Linked DNA regions of Ovis aries. The protein of the gene in region 2 interacts with the protein of the main gene of each other region in a biochemical or structural test. Links are inferred from orthologs where the notes say so. Each region holds a gene or a part of one and is shown on either strand. Other genes may lie near its edges.

The links.
Region 1: the proteins of DNAJC3 (region 2) and EIF2AK2 form a complex in vitro, tested with the Homo sapiens proteins (2 studies listed by BioGRID). The link is inferred for Ovis aries from reciprocal best matches to the Homo sapiens genes DNAJC3 and EIF2AK2.
Region 3: the proteins of DNAJC3 (region 2) and THAP12 form a complex in vitro, tested with the Homo sapiens proteins (2 studies listed by BioGRID). The link is inferred for Ovis aries from reciprocal best matches to the Homo sapiens genes DNAJC3 and THAP12.

What each region holds. Positions count from the first base shown.
Region 1 is NC_056056.1:86,918,634-86,924,044, reverse strand, and holds part of EIF2AK2 (interferon-induced, double-stranded RNA-activated protein kinase), read right to left. Parts: intron 3,873-5,411; 5' UTR 3,856-3,872; coding exon 3,737-3,855; intron 2,776-3,736; exon of another isoform or gene 2,608-2,775; coding exon of another isoform or gene 2,588-2,607; exon of another isoform or gene 2,403-2,587; coding exon of another isoform or gene 2,325-2,402; exon of another isoform or gene 2,110-2,324; coding exon of another isoform or gene 2,060-2,109; intron 1,367-2,059; coding exon 1,246-1,366; intron 1-1,245.
Region 2 is NC_056063.1:72,445,058-72,450,468, reverse strand, and holds part of DNAJC3 (dnaJ homolog subfamily C member 3), read right to left. Parts: intron 1,578-5,411; coding exon 1,472-1,577; intron 1,388-1,471; coding exon 1,267-1,387; intron 1-1,266. UniProt on the Homo sapiens protein: Involved in the unfolded protein response (UPR) during endoplasmic reticulum (ER) stress.
Region 3 is NC_056068.1:54,559,496-54,565,585, forward strand, and holds the start of THAP12 (52 kDa repressor of the inhibitor of the protein kinase), read right to left. Parts: upstream 3,712-6,090; 5' UTR 3,359-3,711; coding exon 3,270-3,358; intron 1-3,269. Other genes in the region: protein GVQW3, read left to right, coding at 4,337-4,801. UniProt on the Homo sapiens protein: Upstream regulator of interferon-induced serine/threonine protein kinase R (PKR). May block the PKR-inhibitory function of DNAJC3, resulting in restoration of kinase activity and suppression of cell growth.

The DNA.
Region 1 (5,411 bases), on a different chromosome or scaffold from region 2:
TCTGTCAAAATCTTGTCCAAACTTCTTCTACTTTGTTAACTTTGTCAAAGAATTTTGGGTTTTATTGACCTTCTTTATTATATCTTTGTTTTTTTTCACATCAATTTCTTCCCTTTTGTTATCACTGTCTTTCTTCTGGTTTTTCATGGGTAAAGGTACTCTACTGTTCTTTTTCTGACTTCATGACTTGGTTTTCTGGCTCATTAGCAATTTAAAAGTTTGTGGGTTTTCCTGATTTATTTTGCTCAATTTTGATTAAAAGGGTGACATCTTCAAGTAAAATTTTAAAAATATATGTATTTTTTTGGCTGCACTGTATGGTACTTGGGATCTTAGTTCCCAGACCAGGGATCAAACCTGTGCCCCCTAAGGTGGAAGCCTAGAGTCTTAACCACTGGACCACCAGGAAGATCCCATTGAGTAAGATTTTTTATGAAAGTATCTTGAATACTGAAATTCTGAAAAATTTTGAAAATTTGAGAATGATTCATTTTTGTCTCATGTAAAATGACTTTCTGCCTCATTTTACAGATGCTGCTCCAGTGTCGTCTGGTTTTTAAGGGTAGCATGGGCAGCATGATTTTTTTTCATTTTTATATTTTGTATAAGTTGTTCTGCCTGGATACTTGCAGGATTCTTTCTTCATCCCTGGAGCTCAGTCCTTTCACAAAGGCCAGTGTTGTTCTTGGTGGTTCCATATTTTTCAGTATCTTCTGAGCCGCTGAGTGGTTTCAATCTGCAGGTAGCTCTTTCTTTATTTCATAAATACTTTCTACTGTTCTTTTCAGAGACAGCTTTTTCTGTACTAGCTACTTACTTTGTCTGCATCTTCAGCAATACCAGCTATACAGATGTTACTTTTGCACCATCTGCCCTCTGTATATTAATATACCATTTTCCTCATGGTTCCTTCTCTCTCTGCCCTTTTCCACTGCATTCCCTCAAGCAGGTGCAGGGGCTCCTTCCAGATCCTGTTAGCTCATTTCTCACTGTTTCCTTAGAGTATGTTACTGCTGCTGGCACTCTAAATAGGTAGTGCCCATCTTGCCCATCTTTTTGAGATGGACCTCTCATTCAGGGTTCTATAGAAATAAGCCCAGGAAAAAGACTGAACTAAACTTTGAAAGCAAAAGAACTTGTGAATGGTTTTATTCTGCATGTGAGTATTTTCTCATAGGACAGGGAAAAATGCCATAGATATTTGTGAGTTCCCTTTCACAATGGAAAAAGAAGGCAATTACTCACCTTACGGTCTTTATTAATCATTTCCAAAGCTAATTTGGCTGCAGCGTTTTTGGCTTCCTTCTTTGATTTACCTTCAGCCTTTGGATATTCTTTCTCATCTATTATAACTTGATATGTAAACCTGATTACAATGAAAAATTCAAAGAACATCATAAATTCATGCATTATTTAACTAGCATTCCAATCATAACTGCCTTCTATGACTACCTTTGAAAATTTTAACCTGTGTTCCACATAGAATAATCATAAGGAATTTGATTTAGGCCATTCAGGTATGATCTAAATCAAAGCCCTTACGATTATACAGTGGAAGTGACAAATAGATTCAAGGGGTTAGATCTGATAGACAGAGTGCCTCAAGAACTATGGACGGAGGTTCATAACACTGAACAGGATGCAGTGATCAATACCATCCCCAAGAAAAAGAAATGCAAAAAGGCAAAATGGTTGCCTGAGGAGGCCTTACAAACAGCTGAGAAAAGAAAGAGAAACAAAAGGCAAAGGAGAAAAGGAACATTACACCCATGTGAATGCAGAGTTCCAAAGATTAGCAGGGAGAAAGAAGAAAGCCTTCCTAAGTGATCAATGGAAAGAAATAGAGAAAAACAATAGAATGGGAAAGACTAGAGATCTCTTCAAGAAAATTAGAGACACCAAGGGAACATTTCATGCAAAGGTGGGCACAATAAAGGACAGAAACGGTATGGACCTAACAGAAGCAGAAGCTATTAAGAAGAGGTGGCAAAAATACACAGAAGAACTGTACAAAAAAGATCTTCATGACCCAGATAACCATGATGGTGTGATCACTCACCTAGAGCCAGACATCTTGGACTGTGAAGTCAAGTGGGACTTAGGAAGCATCACTATGAACAAAGGTAGTGGAGGTGATGGAATTCCAGTTGAGCTATTTCAAATCCTAAAAGATCATGCTGTGAAAGTGCTACACTCAATATGCCAGCAAATTTGGAAAACTCAGCAGTGGCCACAGGACTGGAAAAGGTCAGTTATCACTCCAATCCCAAAGAAAGGCAATGCCAAAGAATGTTCAAATTACCGTACAATTGCACTCATGTTACCTGCTAGCAAAGTAATGCTCAAAATTCTCCAAGTGAGGCTTCAACGGTACATAAACCAAGAACTTCCAGATGTTCAAGCTGGATTAAGAAAAGGCAGAGGAACCAAGATCAAATTGCCAACATCCGTTGGATCATCGAAAAAGCAAGAGAACTCCAGAAAAACATCTACTTCTGTTTCATTGACTAAACTAAAGCCTTTGACTGTGTGCATCACAAAAAAATGTGGAAAATTCTTAAAGAGATGGGAATACCAACCACCTTACCTGCCTCCTGAGAAATCCATATGCAGGTCATGAACCAACAGTTAGAAGCAGACATGAAACAATGAACTGGTTCCAAATTGGGAAAGGAGTATGTCAAGGTTGTATATTGTCACCCTGCTTATTTAACTTATACGCAGAGTACATCATGCGAAATGCCAGGCTGGATGAAGCGCAAGCTGGAATCAAGACTGCCAAGAGAAATATGAATAACCTAAAATACACAGATGACACCACCCTTTGGTAGAAAGTGAAGAAAGAGCCTACTGAAGAAGGTGAAAGAGGAGAGCGAAAAAGTTGGCTTAAAATTCAACATTCTAATGGCAAATAGATGGGAAAACAATGGAAATAATGACAAACTTTATTTCCTTGGGCTCCCAAATCACTGCACATGGTGACTGCAGCCATGAAATTAAAAGACGCTTGCTCCCTGGAAGAAAATCTATGACCAAACTAGACAGTATATTAAAAAGCACAGATATTACTTTCCCAACAAAGGTTCATGTAGTCAAAACTATGGTTTTTTCAATAGTCATATTGATGCTTTTGAACTCTGGTGTTGGGAAAGACTCTTGAGAGTCCCTTGGACTGCAAGATCAAACCAGTCAATCCTAAGGGAAATCAGTCCTGAATATTCATTGGAGGGACTGATGCTGAAGCTGAAGCTCCAATACTCTGGCCACCTGATACAAAGAGCTGACTCATTAGCAAAGACCCTGAGGCTGGGAAAGATTGAAGGCAGAAGGAGAAGGGGACGACAGAGAATGAGATGGTTGGATGGTATTACCAGCTCGATGGACATGAGTTTGAGCAAACTCTGGGAGATAGTGAAGGACAGGGAAGCCTGGCGTGCTGCAGTCCACGGGGTTGCAAAGAGTCGGGCATGAGTGAATGACTGAACCACCACCACCACACAGAATCCAAGCAGTCACCCCAAAGAGCAAAACAGCGCACCATTGTGAAGCATGGAAAGGTTTACACACCGTTTTTTCTCTGGAGTCCTCTGAAGTTATCACTTTACATCGAAAAGACTCACCATCTTCTCTGGCAGCTTTGCTCTCATGCTAAAGAACTGACTTCAAAATTGTGCCAAAATTGCTATTCTCCCAGTTTTAATTTTATATGGATATACCTTTTCTTATAGCAACTTACCTATAATTATGTGGAAGTCCTGTCTTAGCCAGTTCACAATACCTAACTTCTACACAGTTCTTTTGTTGGTATTTATTAAGTTCTTCTATGTAGAAACATGGTGAACGACCAGTGGCCATTTTTTTCCTCTAGTAACCTACAAAAAAAGAGATTTTTGAAAGAAGTGATATACTCAGAAAATATTTAATTTCCCCAATTCAGTTTAAGAGATAAAACAGGGTAAGATGACTCTCCTTTATACGACTCATCTCAGCCCCGCAAAAATCCGGAGAAAACTTTCTTACAAGATCTTTCTCTCCCTCTCGCGGACTACAAAATCAAGTTAATTTCTCCAAGATTTTCTACTTTCAAAACTCAACTGGCCAAAAAAGGATGGACGTCCTTCTCCTTAACTTTTCTTTCTGCTTCCCCTGAGTGTCAAGTGCAAGTCTGTCCATCTGCTTAAAAAGATAAAAGCCTGAAGGAAGAGAATTAGAATTATTTTTGTTGAGAATAAAAAGGTTGAGTGTATATATAAAGTTTATGAAATCATGAAGGATTTAGTTGTACGGACAAAGATTCTCCTATGAAACCCCACAAAACTTCCACTTGAAATTTTCAGAAGTCAGCTTTAGGACAATTTACTTGGTAGACAAATTAGGCCCTAGTTTATGGTTCTCACTGGATGAAGACAGTAACAATGATTCAAATTACAAATAAAACCTAAAGAATATAGAATCTAAATATAAGAGCCAAAGCTGTAAAACTTTAAAAGTAAATATAAGGGTGAATCTTCACAATCTTAGATTTGGCAGTGGAATCTTACCTATGACAGCAAAAGCATAGCAACAAAAGAAAACATAAATAAACTGGACCTCATCAAAATTAAAAATATTTGCATATCAAAGGACACTATGAGGAAAATGAAAAGACAGTCTTCAGAAAGGGATTTTTATAAATAATATATCTGATAAAGATCTGGTATCCAGAATATACGAAGAACTTTTACAACTCAACAATAAAAAGAGTTAAGAAATTAAAAAATAGGCAAAGGATTGAATAGATATTTCTCCCAAGAAGACATACAAATGGCCAACAAGCACACGAAAAGATGTTCAATATCATTACTTATTAGACAAATACAAATCAAAACCACAACTAGATTCTACTTCACACCCACTAGGCTGGTAATAATAATAATAGAGAAAATAAATGTATTGGTGAGAATATAGAGAAATTGGAAACCTCATATATCACTGATGGAATGTAAAGTAATGCAGGCTCTATGATATTTGACGGTTCCTCAAAGAGTTAAACTTAGAATTACCGTGAAAGTGAAAGTCACTCAGTCGTTTCTGACTCTCTGCAACCCCATGGACTCTACAGTCCATGGAATTCTACAGGCCAGAATACTGGAATGGGTCACCTTTCCCTTCTCCAGCAGATCTTTCCAACCCAGGGATCGAACCCAAGTCTACCGCATTGCAGGAGAATTCTCTTACCAGCTGACCCACAAATACCACCCATCAATTTCACCCCTTTGGTGTATATCCAAAGAATTGAAAAACAGGTTTTCAAATACTTACACAGGAATATGCAAAGCAGCACTAGTCACAATAATCCAAAAGTAGAAACAAATCAAGTATCTATCAGCTGCAGAAAAGGTAAACACAAGGCTGTACATCTACACATGGAA
Region 2 (5,411 bases):
CTGCAGTGCGGGAGACCCGGGTTCGATCCCTGGGTTGGGAAGATCGCCTGGAGAAAGAAATGGCAACCCACTCCAATACTCTTGTCTGGAAAATTCCATAGACTGAGGAGCCTGGTAGACTACAGTCCATGGGATCACAAAGAGTCAGACATGACTGAGCGCCTTCACTTTTTGCATTCTTACTATGCTTAAAATAACTGCACATTTCATTAAATAAATATGCAGCAATTATTAGGGGGGAAAACCAGAGTATCACAAATCAAGTTTCCCCAGAAACATACCCTTACTGTTTTCAATCTTAAATGCTTTACTTGTTTTAAAACCAAAACTTGTCATTAAGGGCTATAAGTCTCACTTCTTTTAAAATCATCTCATTTAGATGTTCTTAGTATAAGGTCACATGGAAAAGGTCACAAGACAATATATATGAAAGGATTCTGTACGACTACTGTATTGGCCTTGGTTATCCTCCAAAAATAGAGCACTGCTTTTATTCAAGGTGCTTACAACATCTAGCAGGAAACTCTCTCTGCTACTTGAACAAAGCTGGATAAGCAGCTGTCCTGACATTTACTAACAGCTTGCAATGTGGGAGACCCAGGTTCACTCCCTGGATAGGGAAGATCTACTGGAGAAGGGAATGGCAACCCACTCCAGTATTCTTACCTGGAGAATTCCATGGACAGAGGAGCCTGGCGGCTATAGTCCATGGAGGCACAAAGACTCGGACACAACTGAGCAACTGAGTGACTAACACTTTCACACTTTCTAGGGATCATAGAGGGTTATTTTATATTTAGGCATATACGTCACATATATGTCTGATGTATGTCTAACATGTATATGCACAGAATACGTACAGAGGCATAAAACACACACTCATATATATGCATAGATAAAACTCTGAAAGATATAAATCCAAAATGAGCAGTGATTACCTCTGCATGATATGAGATCTGTAACTTGAGTTTTCTAGTTTGTTATTCATCTTTTCTAACTTGTCTACAATAAAGCAAGCTAAAATTTTTATTTTTATATTCCTCTGTACTGGATTCAACAGCAGAACTCTTTCCTTACATGGTATATCTTTCATGTTCCACCAAGAAAGTATGATTTACTAAGAAAATGATTTTTAGGTTCTCTGCCATTTTTCTAAAATCACCAACATCTCCAGGTAAACTTGTTCTAAACAAAAGGATATTAAACGGACTAACTGCACATATATCAACTTCGAGGTATTGCGTATCAAATTCCTTAAAGATTTACCTTCATCATACATTTCTTCTATTAAATAGGCCTCTGCTCGGTCTTTCAGAGCATTCACATTGTCAGGTTCTACCTGTAAAACTTCTGAACATACTCGAATAGCTTCAACAGGCTTCTCATCCTAAAGGTAAACGTAAGAAAAGAACTTATGGTTGTTATTCCATATGTCAAGTTTTACAATTCTGGAAATGAGTCAGCAATTTACCTTAGAAAAGCAGTGGCAAATCCTTTCTTTTGAACGAATTGTGTATTCATGAACACCTGGCTCTGTTTTCATGACAGATTCATATTTGCTGATTGCATCTGTGTACCTATTAAATGATCAAATCATGATGAGTAAACTGAATTCTATTTCCAGAGCTAAAGAAAAGGACCCTCTACTCATCACTATCTGTGGCTTCATCAACTGACCTGAATGAGCACATGCCCTCAAAGACTCCTTCTCCCTTATAATCTACAGTAGTAATGAAGGTTCTCTCTGCAAGTAAGGGTTGAAACACCTGGCCACAGAAAAAGTATATGGATAAATTAAAGCACCCTTTTTGAGTACTAACTGATCAAATCAAATGACGGATTCTTTATAGAAAGCAGTTCTTGATTTTGAAGCTGAGGAAAACACTTTGTTAAAGTCTGACTGCCACAAAGCACCTTGTAGACAACTGAGATCAGGTTTTACACACTTGGTTACTACACATTTTATAAAATCACAGAACCCATTATGTGTTATTTTATATAATAAATATCAATATTCATAACTGAATACAAGGTAATTTCTTGCAGAAGAAACCCCCAACTTTACTAACTTTCTAAGAACAATAAAAGCTACTTCAGAATTGTTTTAAACTGGTGAAAAATACTAGTCATGTTATGCACTGTTACTTTCCTCAGTAACAACAAACTGTAAGATATATCTACATGCTGCTGTGGCAGATTATTCCAAAAGTGCTACAATCTTCACATTTAAATGCTGCTTTATTAAAATACAGGTTTAAAGATAACACTTAGAGCAAAAGGTAGCCATCAATGTCAAAATCCTAGTTGGGATGCTGTTTTGTAGATTTCTAACATGGGGGGGAAACTATACAGAGCGTGTGAGGCCTCACTTTCTCTCTTAAAACCACACATGAAACTAATATTAGAAATTAAAAGTTCAATTACAAACAGTATCTAACTTTACATAAACGATATCATAATAAACTATTTTTACATCAGAAAGAAAGCTCAATTAGAAAATAATGTGCTTCACTTAAAAAAAAAAGCCTCTGGGAAGGTGGAGCAGAGGCGGTTTCCCCACCCCTCCAGCTGGACGCCTGTGTCAACACCTTGCAAGCATGAGAAAATTATGGCCCCAACCCCCACCAACATCAGCAGCTCACAAGACCTCTGGTGAGCCTCTAATGAGGTGTGTCCACATCCCAACCAAGGTGGTGCTGGAGAACATCAAGTTGGGAGCCAGAACTTTCACCCCTGATCAGAACTGAGTCCCCCAAACTCTCACCTACACCAAGCAGTAGCAGGAGAATCCCACAGCTTGAGCAGCAACAAAGGCCAACTGGGAAACGTCTACATTCATCTTCCAGTTAACCAGGTGGTGCCCACCCTCCAGCCCCTCATGCTCACTTTGCAGAAACAATGTCAGAAAAAGCCACCCAAAACAGAAGAATCAAAAACCAGAATCTTATAAAATGAAAATATCCAGATTTCAATTAAAAACTAATCATCATACCAAGAAACAGGATCTCCAAACACCACCAAGAGGACAGGGATGTTAGAATTATGACAAAGATTTTAAAGTAGCCACACACACACAAAAAAAAGCAATTAACAAGCAGGCTAAAAGCAAATGGAAAAATATAATGCCTCAGAAAAGAAATGGAAAGTCTCAGCAAAGAAATAGAAGATATAAAAATTCCAGATAGAATTTTTAGAACTGAAAAGTATAAAAACCGAAATAAAAAGCTCACCGCATGTGCTCAACAGCAGAATGCAGAGGACTGAGAAAGGGTCAGTGAATTCAAACAACAGAAATTACTAAATTTGAACAACAGAGAAAATGAAAAACAGAAATGAATAGAGCTGCAGGGACTGTGGGGCTAAAACCAAAAAAAAAAAAAAAAATCTAATATTTGTGAAAGTGAGAAGTAGATTTAAGGGACCAGATCTGATAGAGAGTGCCTGATGAACAAATGTAGGACGTTCATGACTTTGTACATGAAATAGGAATCAAGACCATCCCCAAGAAAATGAAATGCAAAAAAGCAAAATGGCTATCCAAGGAGGCCTTACAAATAGCTGTGAAAAGAAGGGAAGTGAAAAGCAAAGGAGAAAAGGAAAGATATAAGCATCTGAATGCAGAGTTCCAAAGAATAGAAAGGAGAGAGAAGAAAGCTTCCTCAGCAATCAATGCAAAGAAATGGAGGAAAACAATATAACAGGAAAGACTAGAGATCTCTTCAAGAAAAGTAGAAATACCAAGGAAACATTTCATGCAAAGATGGACTCAATAAAGGACAGAAATGGTAGGGACCTAACAGAAGCAGAAGATATTAAGAAGAGGTGGCAAGAATACACAGAAGAACTGTACAAAAAAGATCTTCATGACCCAGATAATCATGATGGTGTGATCACTCACCTGGGGCCAGACATCCTGGAATGTGAAGTCAAGTGGGCCTTAGAAAGCATCACTACGAACAAAGCTAGTGGAGGTGATGGAATTCCAGTTGAGCTATTTCAAATCCTGAAAGACGATGCTGTGAAAGTGCTGCACTCAATATGCCAGCAAATTTGGAAAACTCAGCAATGGCCACAGGACTGGAAAAGGTCCATTTTCATTCCAATCCCAAAGAAAGGCAATGCCAAAGAATGCTCAAACTACCGCACAATTGCACTCATCTCACACGCTAGTAAAGTGATGCTCAAAATTCTGCAAGACAGGCTTCAGCAATACATGAACCATGAACTTCCTGATGTTCAAGCTGGTTTTAGAAAAGGCAGAGGTACCAGAGACCAAATTGCCAACATCCGCTGGATCAGGGAAAAAGCAAGAGAGTTCCAGAAAAACATCTATTTCTGCTTTATTGACTATGCCAAAGCCTTTGACTGTGTGGGTCACAATAAACTGTGGAAAATTTTGAAAGAGATGGGAATACAGACCACCTGACCTGCCTCTTGAGAAACCTATATGCAGGTCAGAAACAACAGTTAGAACTGGACATGGAACAACAGACTGGTTCCAAATAGGAAAAGGAGTACGTCAAGGCTGTATATTGTCACCCTGCTTATTTAATTTATACGCAGAGTACATCATGAGAAACGCTGGGCTGGAGGAAGCACAAGGTGGAATCAAGATTGCTGGGAGAAATATCAATAACCTCAGATATGCAGATGACACTACCCTTATGGCAGAAAGTGAAGAAGAACTAAAGAGCCTCTTGATGAAAGTGAAAGAGGAGAGTGAAAAAGTTGGCTTAAAGCTCAACATTCAGCAAATGAAGATCATGGCATCTGGTCCCATCACTTCATGTAAGATAGATGGGGAAACAGTGGAAACAGTGTCAGACTTTATTTTTCTGGGCTCCAAAATCACTGCAGGTGGTGACTGAAGCCATGAAAATAAAAGACACTTATTCCTTGGAAGGAAAATTATGACCAACCTAGACAGCATATTGAAAAGCAGAGACATTACTTTGCCAACAAAGGTCCGTCTAGTCAAGGCTATGGTTTTTCCAGTAGCCATGTATGGATGTGAGAGTTGGACTATAAAGAAAGCTGAGTGCCAAAGAATTGACGCTTTTGAACTGTGGTATTGGAGAAGACTCTTGAGGGTCCCTTGGACTGCAAGGAGATCCAACCAGTCGATGCATCCTAAGGGAGATCAGTCCTATGTGTTCATTGGTAGGGCTGATGTCGAAGTTGAAACTCCAATACTTTAGCCACCTGATGCGAAGAGCTGACTCATGTGAAAAGACTCTGATGCTGGGAAAGATTGAGGGCAGGAGAAGAAGGGGACAATAGAGGATGAGATGGCTGGATGGCATCACCAACTCGATGGACATGGGTTTGAGTGAACTCCAGGAGTTGGTGATGGACAGGGAGGCCTGGCGTGCAGTGGTTCATGGGGTCGCAAAGAGTCGGACACAACTGAG
Region 3 (6,090 bases), on a different chromosome or scaffold from region 2:
GAAATAAACTATACTTCAATTTTTTTTTTTTAAGGCAAAAAATCCTAGAGTCATTCTTGACTTCTGTTTTTCTCTTACAACCTATATCTACACCATTAAAAATCCTGCTGGCTTCACCTGCCAAATAAACCTCAAACACAACTACTTACCACCTCCACCTCTATAAACTTAGATTACTGCAATTAAACCTGGATTACTCCAACTGCCTTTAACTGGTCTTTCTGCTCTCACCTTTGCTTCCCTACAATGTACTCATCAAGTTAGCCAGTGATTCTGTTAAATATTTAAGTCTCTCTTCTAAACCCTTTGAAGACTTCCTATTTCACTCAGGATGCCATTGTGCTTTCCACAGCCTACAATAACCTACACAATTTGCACCTACCACAAACACATGTACATTTTTCTGGTCTCATCTCTTCCTCTCCCATGTCCCTTTGGGCTTCCCTGGTGGCTCAGAAGGTAAAGAATCTGCCTGCAATGGGGAAGACCATGGTTTGATCCCCGGGTAGGGAAGATCTCCTGAAGAAGGGAATGGCAACCCACGCCAGTACTCTTGCCTGGAGAATTTCATGGACAGAGGAGCCAGGCAGGCTACAATACATGGAGTGGAGAAAAGAGTCAGACGCGACTGAGTGACTGACCTTCCTTAAATCAGCTTGAGGACTCCTGCTTGTACCTCTAACAAGCATGCCCTGCCTTTACATTTACTGTTTCTACAGACTGAAATGTACTTCCCCTGGACACTTCCATGGGTGACTCCCTTACCTACTTAGGGTCTTTGCTCAAATAGACTTTCTTAGTGAGGCCTTCCTGATAATCCTGTTTAAAATAGCAACTGTGCCTCCCCTGCTGCTGCTGCTAAGTCACTTCAGTCGTGTCCAACTCTGTGAGACCCCATAGACGGCAGCCCACCAGGCTCCCTGGTCCCTGGGATTCTCCAGGCAAGAACACTGGAGTGGGTTGCCATTTGCTTCTCCAGTGCATGAAAGTGAAAAGTGAAAGTGAAGTCGCTCAGTCCTGCCGGACTCTTAGCGACTCCATGGACTGCGGCCCACCAGGCTCCTCTGTCCGTGCGATTTTCCAGGCGAGAGGACTGGAGTGGGGTGCCACTGCCTTCTCCGGTGCCTCCCCTACTACTCCTATTCCCCTACCCTCCCGGGCCCCTCCCGTCAAACATTTGCTTTTTCTCCATAATATTATGACTGTGTGGATCACAATAAACTGTGGAAATTTCTGAAAGAGATGGGAATACCAGACCACCTGACCTGCCTCTTGAGAAACCTCAGGAAGCAACAGTTGGAACTGGACTTGGAACAACAGACTGGTTCCAAATAGGAAAAGGAGTATGTCAAGGTTGTATATTGTCACCTTGCTTATTTAACTTCTATGCAGAGTACATCATGAGAAATGCTGGGCTAGAAGAAGCACAAGCTGGAATCAAGATTGCCAGGAGAAATATCAATAACCTCAGATATGCAGATGACACCACCCTTATGGCAGAAAGTGAAGAGGAACTAAAAGCCTCTTGATGAAAGTCAAAGTGGAGAGTGAAAAAATTGGCTTAAAGCTCAACATTCAGAAAACAAAGATCATGGCATCTGGTCCCCATCACTTCATGGGAAATAGATGGGGAAACAGTGGAAACAGTGTCAGACTTTATTTTTGGGGGGCTCCAAAATCACTGCAGATAGTGACTGCAGCCATGAAATTAAAAGACGCTTAGTCCTTGGAAGGAAAGTTATGACCAACCTAGATAGCATATTGAAAAGCAGAGACATTACTTTGCCGACTAAGGTCCGTCTAGTCAAGGCTATGTTTTTTTCCAGTGGTCACGTATGGATGCGAGAGTTGGACTGTGAAGAAAGCTGAGCACCAAAGAATTGATGCTTTTGAATTGTGGTGTTGGAGAAGACTTTTGAGAGTCCCTTGGACTGCAAGGAGATCCAACCTGTCCATTCTGAAGATCAGCCCTGGGGTTTCTTTGGAGGGACTGATGCTAAAGCTGAAACTCCAGTACTTTGGCCACCTCATGCGAAGAGTTGACTCATTGGAAAAGACTGATGCAGGGAGGGATTGGGGCAGGAGGAAAGGGGACGACAGAGGATGAGATGGCTGGATGGCATCACCGACTCAGTCGACGTGAGTTCTGAGTGAACTCCGGGAGTTGGTGATGGACAGGGAGACCTGCCGTGCTGCGATTTATGGGGTCGCAAAGAGTCGCAGACGATTGAGCGACTGAACTGAACTGATTCATCACCATCTGATACACGGTGTATCTACTTATTTTCCCCCACTAGAATGTAAACTCCATGAGAACAGAGTCTTCGTTTTAGTTATCTATTCTCTCTCAGTGCTCAGAACAATGTCTAGTACATAGTAGGCCTTCTATAAATATTTGTAGAACAGCACGCTATATTATAATTGGCTACTTATATATACATTATATATCTACCTCCTTATATTGATTGTAAGCTTTCTGCAGGCAGGAACGCTGTCTCGTAAACTCTGAATTTCTGGGACCTCTAACGTTAGTGCCCTGACACACACAGTAGATACTGACCTGAAATGAATGAACCAACAAGACATGCCAAGGAAAAATCCTCAGACTTTCAAATACAGTCCCTACTCTATCACTCTCTAAATATAAGTGAGAGCGGGTGTGTTACCTCAAGGATGACGTTTCAATAACAACTACCAAGCCCTCTCGCGTACCCGTCCTCTCCCACGCCCGTTATCCCCACATTAACCAAGTGAGATAATGAGTAACGGTCAGAAACAGAATTTGAACCATGAACAAGTCCGAAGGAAGGGAGTAGTTGTGACTGGAGATCAAAGGTGGTCAGACTTCGAAAAGAAACATTGTCCCGGGGATAGAAGGGCCCCGGAGACCACAACCATAGATTCCAGGTCCCTCTTTTGACAGCTAGGCTAACTAAAGCCCAGAGAGGAAAGCGGCTTGTCCGAGGTCACACAATAAGCAAATCAGGGCGAGAACCCACCTTACCCACTCGCGCCGCCCAGTTGCCTCTTATTCGAGTCGTGCCCAACACGCAGAGCCCCCGCGGACACACGTGCTCCGAGGCCCCCGAGCGCCCGCCGCCCACCGCTCCAGGCCAGCTCCCCACCTCGGAGCCGGGTTTGGGTCAACAATTGTGCGCCCCCCCCCCCCAATACGCTCCTCTTAGCCCTGGAGCTTGCCCAGGGCCAGCGGTTGGCAGCACGAACCGCCGAAGAGGGCCCGGGCTACCAGCTCCGCGCCCGCCGCTCACCTGGCCGGATCCCGCGGGAACCTAAAGAAGGCCAGGTCCGATTGCGTGCTCTTCCGCGTGCAGTTGGGGGCCGCGCAGAAGTTCGGCATCGTTGTCTGCCCGCCGGCCGACCCAGCCCTCCCCTCCCCGCCTCCTCAGGGCAGCCCGCCCGCCCGTCGGGGCCGGGGAGGGGAGCCAGGCCGGCCGGCCGGCCCGTGAGGGCCGGTTCGCTGGGGGGGAGGGGCGGGCGAGAAGCCGCGAGGGGCAGGAGGGGCGCCGCGGTCCGAGGCCGGGCTGGGGACGCGGCTCCACAGTGCTGTGAGCGGCCGGGAGGATTTACCGCCGCCGCCGCCGCTGGTGCACCTCCCGCCCGCCCGGGACGCTGCCGCCTCCTTCCCACAATGCACCCTGGCGCCCGGGGGTGCCCTCTCTTCCCTCAGCCTTCCTTCCCCGCCCCCTCCTTTCCGCCGACTTCTCCCCGGGCGGGTACGCGCAAGGAAGCGCGCCCGCTCGGGTGTGGCGAAGCAGAGGCGGGGCCTGGCGCAGGCTGCCGCAGTGCGCCTGCGCACGGCCTACCCGCGAAGGGAGGGAATGGCGCATGCGGGCGTGTCTCCAGGGACTCTAGAGGCTCCAAGCCCTCTGCAGCTCCGGTAGGTTTGGCGTGCGCGGGTTTCCGCAGAGCCTGCACGTTACAACACCGATGCGTCGTTTCTTGCTTCTTTAAATTGCCACCACGTAGGCTTCTACTGCAGAGATTGCCTTAGACTCTTCAGAGCCGCGGTCAACTGGACGATCTTGGTGACTGATTTGCACACCCCCATTAGATCTTCGTGCCCGAGTTGGACGCAGACGTGGGTTGTAGGAGATTTCATTTTCCCCAGCTTTGCAGCTACACTGTGGCCCCGTTAGCTTCTAGATTGGAAGCCCCAGGGGTTAAGATTCAGAAAAGCAATTACTCTTACCTCATGAGGCTTCCAGAGGAGCAAGAATAGCGGCTTGATTCCACCTGCACCCCTATAGAGATTGATCCCTCTGTCTTTCCTTCACAGTTGTGGCATTTTAACGTTCTGTGTTGCTTAAGCCCCAAAATGAGTGACCGATACCTAGAACAAAGGATTAGTATCAAATTTTGCGTGAAACTGAACAAGTCTGCAAGTGAGACTCACCATCTTTTAAAAGAAGCTTACGGGGATGAAGTCATGTCAAGGGCCAGAGTTTTCGACTGGCACAAAAGGTTTAAAAAAGGACGCGAAGACATTCGAGATGATGCCAGAAGTGGTCGTCCTGTCACCCACCGGACGGATGAAAATATTAAGAAAGTCAAGGACTTGGTCTGTTCGAATAGGCAGTTAACCGTGAGGATGATGGCCGAAGAGTTAAATTTAGATAAAGAAACTGTTAGGCTCATTCTGAAAGAAAACTTGAATATGAGGAAAGTATCTGCAAAAGTTATATCGGGTATTTTGAAGGATGAACCTAAACCTCGGAAACTTGACTTTTGCTCTGATCTTTCAAAGGAAACTAGGAAAAACAGCTCATGTGTGAGGAAAAAGGTAAGGAATTCTGAAGCATGCAGTCATCTCCAATGAGAAGCTGGTGAGGAAATGCCTCTGCCTGTATCCCATCCCAAAATCCGTTTCCCTGCCAGCCAGCTGCTGCAGACTTGTCTTCAACCAGCCTTCCCAGCAGGACAGCTCAGGGTTGGTTCACACACCGTGGTGAAAGGAATGTGGGGTGGCTGAACCCAAACTGGAAAGCTGCCTAGCAGTTAGGCACCTTCATTTGCTGCTCATTTATTTTCAGCGTCTTTACTGCTCCTCTCTGTATGTCATATCTCTGCTAGTCACTCTTTACTGAACTCGTGGGCCAGCTTCCTTGCCATTTTCCACAACTTTGAAGAATTTTTGGCTATTGACTTCTGGTACTTGCTTGTGCTTAATTTTTTCCCCTTAACAAGTTTTTTCTTCACTGACCAGACCTTAGCTTGATGTGGCTGTCCTCTTCCTTTGTTCTCAGTATTCTGCCTCGGATCATACGAATGAAAGGTGGGAGCATGACCTCTTGGAGTCTTTCTCTCTGTGTGCCTAGGGAGGCATACTCTGCTGGGAGGACCCTGAAAGAAGGCCTACAGTTCCAACTTGCTTCACAGTCAGGGCCTGAGGTATGGTACAGAAGGCAGTGGCATGCTGACATATGGAGCAATGCTAAGGGCCTGTCCAGCCCAAATGACTCAGAGGGAGCCCCTCAGAACTCAGGAGTTAGCCTCCCATCCTGACTTTCTCACAGACCTACCCCTCACAGAAGAGCTGGGTTTGTTTCATTCTAATCTTGTGCTTTGGACTCCCCTCCACCCACTTCATTTGGGTGTATCCTGTCTCATGGAGAAGGAGGATCTGGTCCTGAAAAATATAAACCAGAGGATTCAGGTCCAGGCTATGATGTGTATAGAGTAAGAAAAGGTAACACTCTAGACCTTGAATTCAGGCAGTCTTTTGCCTCTGTGCTGATCCCACATATCAGCTATTTTTAGTAACTAATACCAACATTGTCAGGTATTTTTTTGAACACCTTCAGTGTTTAGAACACTGCTGAGCACTGACAGTATGAGGTTATGAAATAAGATCACCAAGGGCTGGGTGGACTTCATGCATGAGGTGGTTCCTGGACTGGATCCTTAGGAAATTAGGCACATTTCCAGGCAGGTAGAACAGAATGAGGTTTTGAACCTCTTGTCAGTAGGAAAATGAGGGCACTATTGGATGAAATAGCAAAGTCTAAAGAGGAAGATAATAGTGTTGTGCAGAAGATGAACAATTTGAGATAATTTGCTTCCTCTCCTCTG